Linked DNA regions of Drosophila melanogaster. The protein of the gene in region 3 interacts with the protein of the main gene of each other region in a pairwise test. Each region holds a gene or a part of one and is shown on either strand. Other genes may lie near its edges.

Region 1 (5,249 bases), on a different chromosome or scaffold from region 3:
TATGTGCGGGAGTGTGTGTTTGTGTGTGTGCGGAGGAGTGCGGTGCCGACCTCGCATAATTGCTGTCATGAAACTCGTTATAATACACCTACGGTGCATGGAGTGAGCTGGCATTTTGTCAGCTTATGAATCCACTCCACTCCACATCACTTAATTTCACTCGATTTTCGACTCCCCCACAAGCATTGATTGATTCCCTTTGGCCGGCCAGTGAGTAATTGTTGTTGATTTAATAATTTATTGCGGTGGCAATTATTTAAACTGGCCATCGACAAGCTATGACATCAGCCCTCTTCGAATAGAAACCGTAAACATTTCGATCGAGGACGAGCGGTGCAAATGGCAAATCCCCTTCTCGGCGACGCATTTGCATAAGCAAATCTGATGCTACATGCAAAGGCACCAAGGTTGGAAGGTTGGCAAATAAAAAGTAGAAAGTTGAAAGTGGAAGCCGGAACCCAGAACCATACACGGCACACACGTGTATGTCAAAGCGAATGAGTTGAAAAGCTGCATTAAACAACACTTAGATGTGGCCAAAAGGACGGCAGGAGCTGATGGGAGTTGGTGGGTGCAGCGGCAGAAATGATTCATGATTCGGGTGCGGACAGCGGGGAACTCAAAGTGAAAGGAGTCCGGAGACGAACAAAGGCCACGGATCGCTGAGCAGGGTGCGGGGGAGTGTTGCAGCAAAGCAAATAATGTTAAAGTTGTTCCACAAGCAGCTGCTGCCATCGCCACTACACACGGCGAAATAATTCACTTTGGAGTTGCGTACCTTCGCGTACTTCTTTTGTTGTTCACAAAATAAATACAATTTATGTAGCTGAAACAAAAAGTATCTAAATAATGGCATGTCCCAGATTGACCACAAAGAATGAAGTCAGAAACCGATATTCTTTGAACTTTTTTTTTTTTTTTGTAAGTTAATTTATTTAACTTAACAAATTTATTAACACTCCACTAAAGTGAAAACTGGCTAGACCTAAGTTATGAGAAAATTTATTTATACATCCAAATGTAAGTTAGGTGGTATCATAATCTCGTAATCTCTTTAAGATTATTTTTTCTGTGTACCTAGAAAAAATTGCGCGCAGGTAACAAGCAAAACAAAGGCACACAAAAGGTAGCTAGAAAAAATACATACATATAACACCGAGAAAAACTGCATAAAATGTCAAGGTAAAACTAACAAACTGGCTTAGGAGCGATTTAACGGAAACGGAAATGCCAGCGAACGTTTAAAGCGCCACCAACTTGCGACAGCTGCATTTAAAAGCCGAGAACTTCTTTTACTTGGCGCGATAAGAAACAGGAGCAGGAGCAAAAGGATATAAATACAAAATACAGAGCCCTTGAATGGGCCGCTTAATTAGAGTGTAAACGGGCGACAGGCGCAAAGTTCAAATCGCTACTCAAAAGTAATTAAAAAGTTGCAAATAAAACGCAAAGAATACGGCCAAATTACGCGATTGCAAAGAAACTTTGAGACAGTTAGGCAACGCTTTAAAAAAAATCAGAACAGAACCCCTTTGCCATTTAAATTGGGAATGGATTACGACGAATGGAGCGGTGGCACTGAACAATTGCAGCAATTTCAACTCCAACTCATTGAACAGCACTTGGGAACTACGCCAACAATTTTACGCTTGGGCCTAACCAGAAATTCCCGGCCAGGACTACCACCGCACTCCGATTCAGTTGAATGCATTGCAACTATTTTAGGGGCACTCATTTTTCAGTTGAGCTGCCATCGGAGTGAGTTCCTAGTTACCAGTTCCCAGTTAGCAGTTACCAGTTACCAGTACCAAGTTCCCAGTTGGATGTTACGTATTTATGCCCCTAGTCCTGGCAGACAAGGATAGGCAGGCGACATGGTGAGACATGAGGACATGGGGACATGGAGACATGTGCATGGATCGCCACATTGTGGGCCTGTGTGTGTGTGTGCGCCAGGTAATCACGTCATTATCACGTGAAATTTCGGCATTAACGTGAATTTACGATTTGCACATGAGCACGAGCCAAGAAACCGAAAAAAAAGAAATAACTACCAAATGGCAGAGTAGAGGAGCCGAGCCGAGCAGTCGACCCAAGGTATCGACGCACATAAACTCACATTAAATGCGATTGCCAATTTATTTACTAAGTGAGGCGCAGCAACGTCGCAGGAACAGGTTTTGCTTTGCTGAAACAGTACTAAACCAAGAGGAGCCCAGCTGGCAACGGCAAGTTGGCTCAAATTTTAGAGCGGAAATAGTGCGGCAGGCGATATGCGATGGGCCGTGGGCTGTGGGCTGTGGGCCGTGGGCCAGGGGTTTGTAATTGAACCAGCCACCCGAAAGTTGTTGTAGCGAATAAACCTGAGCCAAAAACTTCACTTCACTCACACACGGAGAGTGTGCCATAGTGTGGTGGGAGGGGATAAGGTTGGCAACTTTTTTGCATACAATTAACGAAAGTGGCGCACCTAGGTAAATAACATGAAATATTTGCTTTTTCGGAGCGATGTGAGATGGAAGAGGGGCAATGGGTGGTGGGGGGATAAGCGTGAAGGCATGCGAGTGCTCAACCGCATTAACCCATTACCAGCATAAGCAGTAAGCAGTAAGCCGTGCGGCACTGCCAGCTGCTGCTCGGAGTTTTCCTTTGCTTGCCACTTTCCCCTTCGCCGGGCCATACAATTTTCCAACACATTTGGCAAATTAAATTATATACTATGGGCTATAGTATGCAGTGGCACAAATCTCGGGCGAAGAAAGCACACTCGACTGATTTTTGTTGGTTTTTCTGACTGACACTTTATGATTTACAGCTTAGCTCCGTGTTGACTCGAAGATTGCGATCGACGTTTCTGGATATTCCATTCACTCGACTCGACGATCCTCGCTCGCGGCACGCACACATATCAGCCGTGCCATTGGCAATTCGCTGGCATTCGTATTTCCGCTTCCGCTAGAGTCGAATTCGCATCGAATTGAATCGCACTGCCCGCTTGCCATTGGCCGCGCGTCCGTTCGTCACGAGTCTCAGTCGAAAACTGTTTGGCCCGTACGAAGTCGGGTCCTTTCACCGCACGAAGCTCTAAGGACTCGGCTCCGAGTTCTCTGGGCCATCGGCAAATGTAAATTAACAGTCCAAATAACAGCTGTAAAGTCAGAGATTTCCAGCTGAGAGTAAAAGAGAGAAAGGACACTAACAATTATCCGTTTTGTTTTGGTTGCACATTCGGCGAGTAAGTTCCCTCTCCATTCTCGTTTTTTTCGTGGAATAAGCAGAGTATGACTCTCAAACTGTAGGAAACAAGGTCTTGTATCGAAAGTCACTCGCTTCGCAAGTTCTATTCCATTTTAAACATTTCCTTTAAAAAGTTTACTGTAGTTTTGCAAAATTATAAGTACTTTTGGTATTTTAATATACAAAAACGTATTGTTAGCGTTATTCAAATGTCAAGTCCATAATAGACTTCAATTATGTATGTAAGTGAGAACATTTCTAAATTTATATTATTAAAGCTTTATGTTTTGATATCAAGCTATACAAACGTCACCCTAATGGATATTAGATACAAATGACTTCTGTTTAATAACGTACGCATTTAGAGCTTACTTATCAGATTTCTTATTAAAATTCTCGTGTTGGCCTAGGACTCTGCGTACGAGCCAAAAGCTCACGACGTGACACAAAAACGAATGGATGGATGGTGGAAACGACGGCAGACGATGGATGACGACGCGTGAGAGTGTCCAATAAAAATTACGTATACGCAGCGAGTGCCCGAAGCGGCGACCATGCCTCACGAAGCGTGCGGTAATTGGCAAAAGAAACACACACAAAAAAGGATAACCCTTCGACACTTCACCCACACCCGCCAGCCCATTTTGCTGGCTAGAACTAAAAAATGAAAGGGCATCGACAAAAAATATTCGCAACAAAAATGAACCCAAAAGTTCCCGAAAATACTTTCACAGCTTATTATTTATATGTCGTGATATGCAATCGAGTTTTGTATCAAAATATATGGAAATAAGCTGGGTGGGATAATTTTAAAATATTTTATTTAAATTAAGGAATTTTGCGTACTTATGCTAAAAGTCTTGCAATATTGAATCTTTTATTTAATACAAATTTAAAATTAAAATGATCTTTTCTATAAATGTTTGTAGCTAGTCAAGATATAGATGTGAGAAATACACCTCCTTACTAACGTTTAGTTAAATAAAACCATAGTTTCCATAAATCAGAGAGTAATAAGTGTTTCCAAAAATATTAATTCCTCTTTGCAAGACCTAAAAGAATGGGTCAAAATTGGCCAGGGGTCAAGAAATTGGCTCTGGGCGTCGGCACTCCCGGCATGTCAAAATGTCGCCGGGGCTATAAATACTGGCCGTCGAAAGGACTCAAGGAAACGCTCCGATTCCACCAGAATTGGTGGGCGGACTCAGGGATTGAGGATCCCGAAGTTTGCCACCTGAATAGCTGCACGAACCCAAGTCGGAATAATTCTTCGCGGAGCACGTTGTAATTATCGCGTGAAATCAAAGCGATTCCTTGCCAAAACAATGAGTCCTGGCCGGTGTCCTGGCAACGCGGTGGCTCCTCGACGGCGAGGCTCTTTTGTGCGGCCGGACTTTTATGTTTTCCCGCAGCCGAGGTAAGCTGATTATTTCATTTCCATTGTGCTCGCCCCTCGGCATAACTTAATTTTTATGGCACTTATGATATTTTAATCTAATGAAAGTGTAATTACATTGCCATTGCTAATTTATGCTCGGTTCGGAGCAATTTGTTTTACCTGTTACACTGCCCGTTAAAAGAAAATGCTTAGTGCCTGATTCGAATACGATTTCCTACCACTTCTTGTTTTCAATTTACTTATAAAGCGCTTTAGTTCATTTGCCTAATTAATTGAAAACAAGTGTTTTTTTGGTAGTGCAGGATATATTTTACTCACTGCGAACCGTTTGGAGTATAGGACTCTTTTCGGGGCTTACCTAAAAAGAAAATAAGACGAGGAAAATGTTATTTTTTGCGGTGAGGAAGTGGGTGAGGGAAAACTGCTGCTGGCGGGATATGTAAGCGGGCCATTCCCATCCAACATCAAAGCCAGCGAAATAACTAAACGTGAATCGATTGCCAACAGAAATAAAGCAAATTTACTTTACTTTTCAAAAGCGAGGGAAACATAAACCAATGTGGCAGAGAAACAATGCGGCAGGCACAGAGACAATCGCTGGCGAGGGCTCCTG
Region 2 (4,916 bases), on a different chromosome or scaffold from region 3:
TTGCTCTTCACTTCCCTTCTCTGTGGGAAGAGACCTTTGATTTTCTTAGCCAAGTGTTTGCCTAGCAAAATATAAAATTTTTTTCGCGTCACAAACTTAAAAATCTCAATTTGATGTCAATATCAAATGTTTCTGAATTGAACCACTTTTCTACGAGTGTGTTTCATAGATTCGTAAAAAATACGATTCTACATCTGCATAAGAAATTGTACGGTCTCTCGGGTGGCACAATTATATAGAAGACCATCCATGGAGGAAATTTAGAATATTTCCCAGGTATTGCCAGATCTCCAAATCAGTTAACCCGAGTTCCCGAAAAAATGAGTAAATGCAGTGAACCAGTTTTCAGCAGACTGCACTTGGTTGGTGGTGATAACAAGCCAGATACACAAGCGTACAACTAGAAAATCGTGTACGATAATTTACACAACGGTTTTCGTGTAAGACACAAAAGCTCGGTCGATAAGAACAAGATACATAACCCCGGTGTAGACTAGACTACGGTATAGAGGTGAAAGGGGGGGGAATAGCCAGAACTGGGAACCCACACCCCATTCCCATTAGCATGTTTCGGAAAGAGAATTTCACGGAAATTTATGATGCCCAAAAGAGAACACACCTCGGTGAAGGTGTCACGTGCGCTGTCAAAAATCGGTTGGTCCGAGACGAATGCATAATGCGGAGTGGACAACAGTCAGCCAGACTTGAAATCGAAAAGTGGCTTGGCGATAAAGAAGTTAAGGCTAATCGCAGAATGCGGTCAACAAACTGGTTCTTTCGATCTTTCGAACCAACAAGTGGGTGGACGTCGCTGAGTGGGTGAAATGCAATTGGAACCATGAAAATAAATTGTTTATTCAATAACCAATCATACAAATCAACGACGGAATCGCAAGTGACCGGGACCCCGCTTGTAGAGTCGCTTCCTTCTCTTGTTATCCCGACGAATGGCCACTATCGCAATGAAGACGAATCCCAGATAGAAAACGGCGGCTACAAAGCACCGTGTGGACACGTCCTGGTAGGCCTCGTCCGCCTGCTCCTTGAAGGCCTCCTGACTGGGGAAGTGGTGGGGCAAGGGCAGGGACTCCAGGAGCATCAGTGACTGGACGTAGAAGAAGATACCCAGCAGATTCAGCATCAAGAAGCCCCAGGCGCTCATGAACAGGCAGAACAGACAGCACTTGCGACCACAAAACATTTTCAAGCTCGATTCAATTCTATGCGAACTTTGTGCGACAGTGTAGTCGAGTGTTGCTCTGACCGCAACAGGTGCCAAGTTTAAGCCGACTTCGAAAGCGAAACCGAATCCGAAATCGAAATCGGAATGTATTGGACCACATACTATTCATCCATCTATCTACATACGCTCGTACACAAGTACAACCTTGTGCGATTTCAGCGGCATTAGATCAGAGTGGTCGGAATATGGAGTTCACGTACCCGTGCCTCTCGCTTTCGGCGGCGTTGCGATTGGGTTTGTTCAACTCGAAATGGCTTAGATTCGGATTTGATCTTAGCCAATGATGGACAACTGACAGATATATCATTTGCACACATACATATGAGTATGATATAGAAGCAGCTCAACTTATTAACACTTGAAAAGCACGTCAAAAAAACGATGTATACAATATACTTCAGAACATCAAGCTTATGCAGAACGAAGACCTGCAATATATTTGATATTTCAAATCAGTGGCTGCATTTAGTTCTGCGTATTTATATATCAGAAGTGATTTTTAGAGAACTGAATGTAGGCCATGCCAACCAAGTAGCTGATTCATTAAAGGGCAGCCTCTGATTTGAATTCCCCTTGTGAATCATGCTCAAGAAATTGCAATAAAAATAGCCAACTAAATAAGTTTAAGCAATAATTAGCACAACTTACCGTGAGTGGTTGATGTTCTCGATAAATCCGCAGAGCAACAAAATTTTTGCCACACTTGCAAAGAAGAAGCAGCAGAAGAATTCACAATAAAGTTTTTACTAGTTTCTTGAAACTCCGTTACAAAACATCAAGTTGTTGTGAAAATTCGTAAGTCGTTTTCGCGGTTGCTAAACCTTTTTTACACTCTGTTGTTTTACTAACGTTTCCTTTATTATGTTTGTTTATGCGAATTGTCGTTAGTTTTATGGGTTACTAGACACGATTAGAGAGAAATCAAAAATTAGGAAAATTAAACAGAATTGATAAAATATTTTTTACTTATTGCACCACGTGTTGCAACTTGAGACATAATAGGTGTCAGCTCTAATTGAGTAAATATGTTTTGCTGGTAACTTAAGCTGCGGATTTCGTACAGCCACAGAAAATGGGGGTCAAGTCCATTAGGTTAAAACCCGATCCCCAAGCGAAAGACCTTGACATTAGGGCGGTTGCTCACTGAACTTGGTAATATCTTAAGTGTCTCGAATTCCCTTTGCGCAAATCAATCAACTTGTCTTATGAGAGCACGAAGAAAAATGAAAATAAGATCACTACATTTTTATTTAAATGATATTTCATAGCTTATTGATATATTTCTAATGAGTATTAACCTAAAGTTTGATCTTATATTTCAAGAGACGGATGTCAAAATATTATTCTTCGCTGATTATTTTCTCAGTGTGGGATTTCAGTTACAGTTATATGGTTGTTATTTGCCTTATTTGCTTAGCACATTCTTCTTTACAATCACACAGACACTTGCTTTGATTTGTGTATTCGTTTTTGTTGTAAGCGCAATTATCAGTACAAACATTTATAATAAAAAAAATTGCAATTTCAACAAAAAAAAGTGTTTAGCTTTCAGTTTAACTTTTAGCTTGAATTTGTTAATGTCTTCACTGAATTTTATTTGTGCTTTATGAAAATATAATGTACACACTGATAAGAGAATAATTCATTTTATGCTATAATAATTCACTTTATATATTTATTGTTTCTCTCACGTTTGTGATTCGCTTTGGGCATTTGTTGTTAAATCGGTTTGTTTCGCACTTTGGGACACTTCTCGATATTTAAACATAACATGTTTTTACGAATTCGCTTCTCGAAAACCGGTATGCAAATCCAAAAATCACCGCAATATATTCAAAACTATTTAATTGTATTTATCGAATTCTTCGTGCACCTTCACTTCGAGTTCTCGACTCCGATGCGACCGCCGCGCTACGAAAACAAAGATTGAACACGAGTTGCCTTGCGATGTGGCTTAAATAGTTTGCCTCTCTCGCTCGCGTCGCTCAACGAGAGATGAGAACGAGTCTCTCCAAAACACAAATTTTAAGAGAAGAGCACCAAAGCATAAAATCTGAAAAGAGAAAGGTAAAATTTTAAGCTCTTGTTATACCTCTTTCTTTCACTAATTGCATTTTTATTTTTAACTTATTTATAATTAGAATTAACATATAATTAATAATATATTAATAATTATTATTATAATTTATTGTTTAATATAATTGTAATGATTATAATTATAAACAATAAGTAAGAACTTAAATTTTTTTTTCTTTTTTTCATCCTTCATCAGATAAAGTAACTTTTTTTTAATTTTCTTAGTTATTACCATTCTCTTTAAATATTATTTCTCGTTCTACGATAATTATTTCAATTATGATTTAAATTGCATGCATTATGAGTGCACTTAGTAATCAAGTAGTACAGTAAGTAAATGCACTGACCAAGTGCCTTAATCGAGTCAGTCACTCAATTTGCTTCGCTTAATGTCATAGGTAAAGGTAAGCGGGCATGTGAAGGACAACTACTACCCACTGGCGCACCACCCACTGGAAAACCACCCACTTGAAAAACGCCCACCCATTGTTTCGGGTGGATACTTCTGAATGCAGTCCGTTTGGCATTCAAATTTAGTGCAAAAGGGCAAAGTGTTTTCACTCTTATCTTTCAATGTCAGTAGAAAAACTTTACAATGTACATACGGCAGCAAAACGAAAATAGAACTAGAAATCAATAAATTAAGATTATATTTTCCATATATAAATGCAATCACTTAATCTATAGTAATTTGCCAAATCAAACATGAACAAAATAAGGCGCATCAAAGATACATATAAGTATTCGTGATTCCTAGCAGTGTAACTACCAAAGTCTATTCATATTCTTTGCTCTTTGGGCAAAAACACTTTCCTTAGTTAATGCTTCCCACTCGTCAGCCAATTAAAGCCTCACTTTTATGGCGAATTAATCGTGCTCGCTCAGAGCTATTTAAGCCTTATTAAAAGCAGATCTCCGAGCGATTCTGTTCCAATCTGTCCGCTACCGAATTGGCCAAATCCGCTTAATAGTTTGGCTCTAAAAGGCCGGCGTTTGATGTGGGATCGAAGCGAACTATCGATTACCAGATTGGGCTAACAAAAGTTTTCGTTTTCGCATCGCGGATTTCCGCTCCCAAGCTACTAGAGTTTCCATACTATCGATCAACAAGTGGCGTCTCAGATCAGAAGAAGGTCATTCGATACCCCGCCACCGCCGTCAGGATGGGAAAAGGGGTTAGCCCCCGAGTCTGGCGATTAGCATGTTAAGCCAACTGTTCGCGGCGGCTGTTTAAGGTCTATAATTAAGCGACATAAACTTGGGTATTAGGCGCTAAATACACAGAGAAACAAAAAAGTAAAGTAAACCCCTCGAGTGATAAAGCAGGGGGCGGGGCGACGTTGGGGGAGGAGGTGCGCCTCTTCTCGATTTGCATAACTGTTCGTTTAGGCACAGAAGTCGGGGGCTATGGATATGCTTTGGGTCTGGGTTTGGGCCTGGTTATGGGAGTTGGCAGGGGTATTGGTATGGCTATCGGTATGGGCTGCATTCGAAAAACAGACGGACGGCATATGAAAACGGAGGCAAACACACGCACACACCTGAATTTACCTGGCCACTGCACCTGTCCACATAAGCGACCTCATCGTTGGGCTTT
Region 3 (5,957 bases):
TCTGCGACTTGTTCACATGATCGTTGGGATGCACCGGCTTCTTGCTGCCCAGTTCGCCGCCCATCATCTTAATGGCCGCATTGCTGATCACCTAGTAGGTTTGCCAATGGCATGGGGCAGGAGAAGCATCCAGCTATACACATTTCTCTCGTTAGCCCTATCTAACAATCTTACCTCGTTGGTGTTCATATTGGTCTGGGTGCCCGAACCGGTTTGCCAGATGACCAATGGGAAGTGACCCTGTTTGTATAGCTTGCCGGAAATGACATCGTCGCAGGCGCAGGATACGGCATCCGACACCTTGCCATCTAGTCCGTAATCCTTGTTGACCTCGGCACATGCCTTCTTCAGTATGCCCATGGCCTGGATCACCGGCATCTGCGGGCAGTTTGGGGATTAATTGGCTATGGCAAAGCACTTGGTAGATGCCAGAATATGTTGGTTGGTTGGTTGGTTGCCTACCGGCATACGTTCGCCTATGTCGCCAATGGGAAAATTCAATTTGGAGCGCATCGTCTGTGCGCCGTACAGCTTGTCCGCCGGCACCTTTAGCTCCCCGAAGGTGTCCTTCTCCGTACGAAACTTGCCATTCTCCTTGCCCTTGCCGCCCTTACCGCCACTGTCGCACTGCAAAGATGCCCCATGTAGCCATGAGTTGCCAGCGACCATTGTCGCGTACTTACATCCTTGGCACGGAGGCCACTGCAAACCACCCAGAGATTGCGCCTAGCCAGATGCAGACCATTGTTTTGCTTCAGCATTTTCAATTATTATTGGTTCTGTGTTTCCGAGCGATTCATATACAACAAAACGATCTGATCTAGAAAATCACACTGCGATTCCGATGACAGCGATGATTGAATGATGGATTTCGTCGTCGGCCTACTTGGCTCCACTTCACTTGGGTCCCAGCATCTGTTCGGGTCGCACCCAGTCGTTGAACTGCTGCTCCGTCAGGTAACCCAAATTGATGGCCTCCTCCTTGAGTGTGGTGCCATTCTTGTGCGCCGTCTTTGCAATTTTCGCAGCCTTGTCGTAACCAATGTGCGGATTCAGAGCGGTCACCAGCATGAGCGACTCGTTCATGATCTTGGCAATATTCTCGCGGTTCGCCTGGATGCCATTCACACAGTTGGCAGTGAAGGTCCTGCTGCCATCAGCTACAAAAAGGAATAGATTCGATTGATTTGGCGTTCCACCAAGGGTGGGTAATAGGTAGCTTACACAATAGCCGAATGGAGCGCAGCACATTGGACACGATCAGGGGCTTGAATACATTCAGCTCGAAGTGCCCATTGGATCCACCGATGGTCACCGCCACCTGATTGCCCATCACCTGGGCGGAGAGCATTGTCAGCGACTCGCATTGCGTGGGATTCACCTTGCCGGGCATGATGGAGCTACCTGGCTCGTTCTCCGGTAGCGAGAGCTCACCCAAACCGCAACGCGGTCCGGAGCCAAGGAAACGAATATCGTTGGCAATCTTCATCAGGCTAACGGCGATCGTGTTGAGCACACCATGCACCTCCACCATGGCATCGCGGGCAGCCAGTGCCTCGAACTTGTTGGGCGCGGTAACGAAGGGCAGGCTGGTCAGCTCGGCGATCTTTGCAGCGCACTTCTCGGCGAATCCCTTGCGTGTGTTCAGACCCGTACCCACAGCAGTGCCGCCCAGAGCCAGCTCATAGACGCGCGGCAGACAGGCATCGATGCGCTCCTGGGCGTAGGCCAATTGCTGGGCATAGCCGCTGAACTCTTGGCCCAGCGTCAATGGCACCGCATCCATCGTATGCGTGCGTCCGATCTTGATAATGTCCTTGAACTCCTCCGACTTGGCACGCAGCGCATCGTGCAGCGTCTTAATCGCCGGCTTAAGGTTGTTGTTCAGCTCCAGCGCCACCGAGATGTGAATGGCGGTGGGGAAGGTATCGTTGGAGCTCTGCGATTTGTTCACATGATCGTTGGGATGCACGGGCGTCTTGGAGCCCAGTTTGCCGCCCAGCAGCTCAATGGCACGATTGCTGATCACCTTGAGAGTTAGAGAGTTAGAGGAGATTTGAGAATAGTGCAAATGAAACAAATGACCGCTCATGCCCACCTCATTCACATTCATGTTGCTCTGCGTGCCCGAGCCCGTCTGCCAGATGACCAGCGGGAAGTGGTCGTCGTATAGCTTGCCAGAGATCACATCGTCGGCCGCCTTCGAGATCGCCTCGCTAACCTTGCTGTCCAGTCCGAACTCCTTGTTCACCTCGGCGGCGGCCTTCTTCAGGATGCCCATGGCCTGGACCACGGGTTTCTGGCGGGGATTAACGAGAGTTTTAGTTGCTTTCAATGTGTTTTCTTCTTATTTTTTACTTTACGCAACATACTTGTGTGTTATGTTAATGTAGTTAATACATTTTTTAGACTTTAACTTTCTATAGACTCTGAATTACAATGAACAAACTCATTGAACTAGCATTCACCATTTGTTCTGCTTTCTGTAATAGAAGCTTAATTTAAGCCATATTTTACTTAGTAATTAGCTAGACCTTGCTGCTTTTTGAACCTTCAATGCTGACTTTTAAATACTTTCGAAAGATTTACGTGAGAATTATATGTATACGTAGATGGAGGCAGTGGGGGGCACTACTTACGGGCATCCGTTCGGTGGCTCCGCCGATGGGGAAATTGATCTGGGATCGCATCGTTTGGGCGCCATAGTACTTATCCGCGGGCACCTTCAGTTCGCCAAAGGTGTCGCTCTCCACGCGAAACTCCTGGGAGGCCTGTCGATGCGAATGAATCCGATAAGAATGGCTATAATTATCAGTAAGTAAACACAGGGGCAGACCATTTCAGATGCAGATATGACAGATAGTAAGTAAGTGAAGCCAAATTGAGACTATGGCAATCAGAGTGAACAAATCAGAGGACGACCACTCGACGACGGCTGCTGCTCGATGTTAACTGAGGCGTGCTCGGGCATTGAAAGGCAGAGGCGATAAGCTAGGGGGATTCAAAACCAAAAAGCCGAGTGTACAACGAACAGATTCTTGAAAGAGCGCTCTCAACGAGCGAACTTCCCGCAGAATTGGTGGGAGGTGTTGAATGCCCGAGCACTGGGCGCTGAATATGAAAGACCCAACTTGGGCATGGGGTGCACACAGCAGGGGGCACGAAAGTAGTGCGAGGATCTCGAACTATATTTGTGTATATATGTATATTGTATGCATAATAATTGCAATAGCAATTCTATAAAAACAGACTGATTCGAACTTTTGCATTTCCAGTGCTATTCATGTGACCAGCGCTGTTCCTCGGGATTTATGGGTGGAATTTACGCCGGACTGTAGCTCTACTATCTAGTGTCTTATATACATATGTTTTATATGCAGCATTATCTGAATAATCGGTAGTGTATTACAGTGGTCGTTCATTCATCTAGTACCATATATAATTAACCGGTTTTAATTCAATTGCCGAAAAAAAAAAACAAGAATTCGCTGACTAGCACAATTTCTTGAATTACAACTCGTTTCGCGAGTTTATGGTTCTCTCTTTTCCCTTTTTTTTTCAACGCCGTGAGTTTGTTTTGTTTTCAATCATGTGATTTGAGTTTTGAGTGCGAAATGAAAATAAAAAACGTTTGCGAAAATTGAGTGAAAAAATCAATGCGACGGCTTCCAATTGGAGTCGCGCGCCAATTGGAGTTTCGTCCACAAGTGGTCGCAGTGGTGTGCCAATTGGAACGTCCGTTCCAGCGCCTGGAAGTCGCTCGCCTCCGCTTTCCATTGTGTAATGATTACGAAACGCCGGCATTTGTGCACTTTTCATTGGCATTTCTGCTCGCCGCGCCTTGTTTACAATCAAAAAAATAACATATTTTGGAGTTATTAGCCGCTGCATGGGCGAATCTAGCATTACATAAGGCAAAATATTTTTGCCATCTCGCTACAAAATATATATCCAATTTGCACAGCACTTGGAATCCTTACCAGACGCAAACTTCCAATGGCGGCCCAGGGTTTCGTCATTTGTTGAACGCCGCGAAGCGTGGAGCGTTGCAATAATGGTAGCACCATCTCTATGCTTATTCCTTAGTCGGTAATTAATAAATAAGTTTGCAAGCAAGTGATCTTTCACGGACGAGCCCACCACAACAACACCAACAACAACAAAAAACAACAACAGCACCTCGATGCGCGGGTGAGAGCTATCGGACCATCGATTGTTCTTATCGACTTTGTAACGATTGCTGCCTAAGTTCATAAAAATTGAGAAACAAAAATCCTAAACATTTTTAAGAAACACCTAGTTACCTTAGTACTAACTGTAAATTCCTATTCCATAGCTAACAAATTTAAAATCTGTTGATAGTTCTATTTGTTTTTTTTGAAACTACAACTATCGATAGCAGACCGTTGCGGCACTGTATCCTATCGTTTGTGTGCCATCCGCAGGCGAACAGCTGTTTTTTCGGGAATCGTAACTTCAGAGGAACTTTTTTTTAGTGGAAACAAGCCTGCAATGTCGGCGTTTGTGAAAACCGTGTGCTTGGCCCAAAAGCTGTGCGCCGCCAATCCCGTCGTGGCTCGCCAGGCGATCCGCAGCAGTAAGTGTGAATCGGGGCTGCGCTGGCAACAGTGCAACCTGCCCCACTGTTTTGTTTACGTAACTTTTGCATGCACCGAATGGCTACAAATTCGAATTTCTCGCCATTTACGTTTTAGTGGCTGGCTGGAATAAGGACTACAAGCCGGGTCCGTATCCACAGACGGAGAAGGAGCGCCTGGCGGCGGCCAAGAAGTACTATCTGTTGCCGGAGGAGTACAAACCGTATGCGGACGATGGTCTGGGCTACGGAGATTATCCCAAATTGGGCTACGGTCTGGGTGTGGAGGCCAAGGACTCGTACTATCCCTGGGACTATCCGGAGCACAAGCGCAACCAACACGAGCCCGTAAGCGCCAACATCAACGGCTAGCAGCAGCTGCTGCATAAAAAAAGAGTCAAACCCTGATCCATTTCCATTGCAGATCTCGGCGGATCATGATCTGTACAGCGAGGATCGCTGGTCGCAGGCCGAACCGCCACGCTACAGCAATGCGTACTACTTTGCCTGCTTCCTGGGCGTGATGTCCGGCTGCCTGGCACTCTACTACTGGCTGGATGACAAGAAGATGTACCGCCCCGTGGCCGCCAAGCAATATCCCAGCCCTGGCGTCAAGCACTACACCTTCGAGAAGTAGGATTGTATCTATCACGCTCTCGATCGCACTGCGCGCCTCGTTTTTATTTCATAGGCAATTAATCAACGCATCTATACAATTAAAATGAATGGAAACCAAGCTAAAACATGGATTTGCTATCATTTTGACTGCGCATGTTGGGTTGCATTTTTCATTCCGTTCTTAATGAGCAGCAAAAAACGAAATGAATCTTGAGATGAACGTTTATTTCGGCGAAAACATGAATGATTTGGAACGTAACTGAACCAAGAAATCCTTAATGGATTTCAATAATGTCTCTAAACTATAAACTTACTGCCTAAATACATTGTTTGTTTGGGTGAGCAAAAAAAAGCAAGACGCGGAAACAGAAACTTAACCAGCTAGATTTAGGGCATAGTAATAAACTGTTGATCGGCTGGGATCACTCCACAACGTAGTTGGGATGCACCACCAGCAGGGGATCGTCCTCCTCCACGAAATCCTTTTGTACCTGAATTCTCGGCTTCAGCGTGGATGTCTTGAGCGGAATAATGACCTGATCGTGATAGATGAGGCGATCGATAAGCTTCTCGATGAGATTTTTGCGAGAAATTAACTCATCCTCGGATTCGATTTGGTCCGCCACCTGCTCCAGATACCAGGTGACCACATTGCTGCGCTTGATGCCCGTATCGTTGCCCTCCACCTCGCAGCGCGCCTCCTCGGCGCGCATATGCAACACCAGCATGGTGGACAGATTCT

What was found.
Region 1: the proteins of Fum1 (region 3) and Gfrl interact in a two-hybrid assay, tested with the Drosophila melanogaster proteins (one large-scale study listed by BioGRID).
Region 2: the proteins of Fum1 (region 3) and a interact in a two-hybrid assay, tested with the Drosophila melanogaster proteins (one large-scale study listed by BioGRID).

What each region holds. Positions count from the first base shown.
Region 1 is NT_033777.3:20,446,646-20,451,894, forward strand, and holds the start of Gfrl (glial cell line-derived neurotrophic family receptor-like), read right to left. Parts: upstream 3,043-5,249; 5' UTR 2,814-3,042; exon of another isoform or gene 2,800-2,813; intron 1-2,799.
Region 2 is NT_033778.4:22,135,227-22,140,142, reverse strand, and holds the start of a (arc), read right to left. Parts: upstream 3,176-4,916; 5' UTR 2,935-3,175; intron 2,711-2,934; exon of another isoform or gene 2,144-2,710; 5' UTR 1,892-2,143; intron 1,249-1,891; exon of another isoform or gene 1,202-1,248; coding exon of another isoform or gene 878-1,201; exon of another isoform or gene 848-877; intron 209-847; exon of another isoform or gene 1-208. Other genes in the region: CG11269 (uncharacterized protein), read right to left, coding at 878-1,201.
Region 3 is NC_004354.4:6,676,640-6,682,596, reverse strand, and holds Fum1 (fumarase 1), read right to left. Parts: upstream 4,174-5,957; 5' UTR 4,068-4,173; coding exon 3,981-4,067; exon of another isoform or gene 3,479-3,980; intron 2,958-3,478; exon of another isoform or gene 2,840-2,957; coding exon of another isoform or gene 2,837-2,839; intron 2,772-2,836; coding exon 2,640-2,771; intron 2,300-2,639; coding exon 2,099-2,299; intron 2,030-2,098; coding exon 1,225-2,029; intron 1,161-1,224; coding exon 898-1,160; 3' UTR 762-897; downstream 1-761. Other genes in the region: Fum2 (fumarase 2), read right to left, coding at 1-91, 175-378, 463-627, 684-761; ND-ASHI (NADH dehydrogenase (ubiquinone) ASHI subunit), read left to right, coding at 4,513-4,597, 4,716-4,945, 5,022-5,234; Mcm6 (minichromosome maintenance 6), read right to left, coding at 5,638-5,957.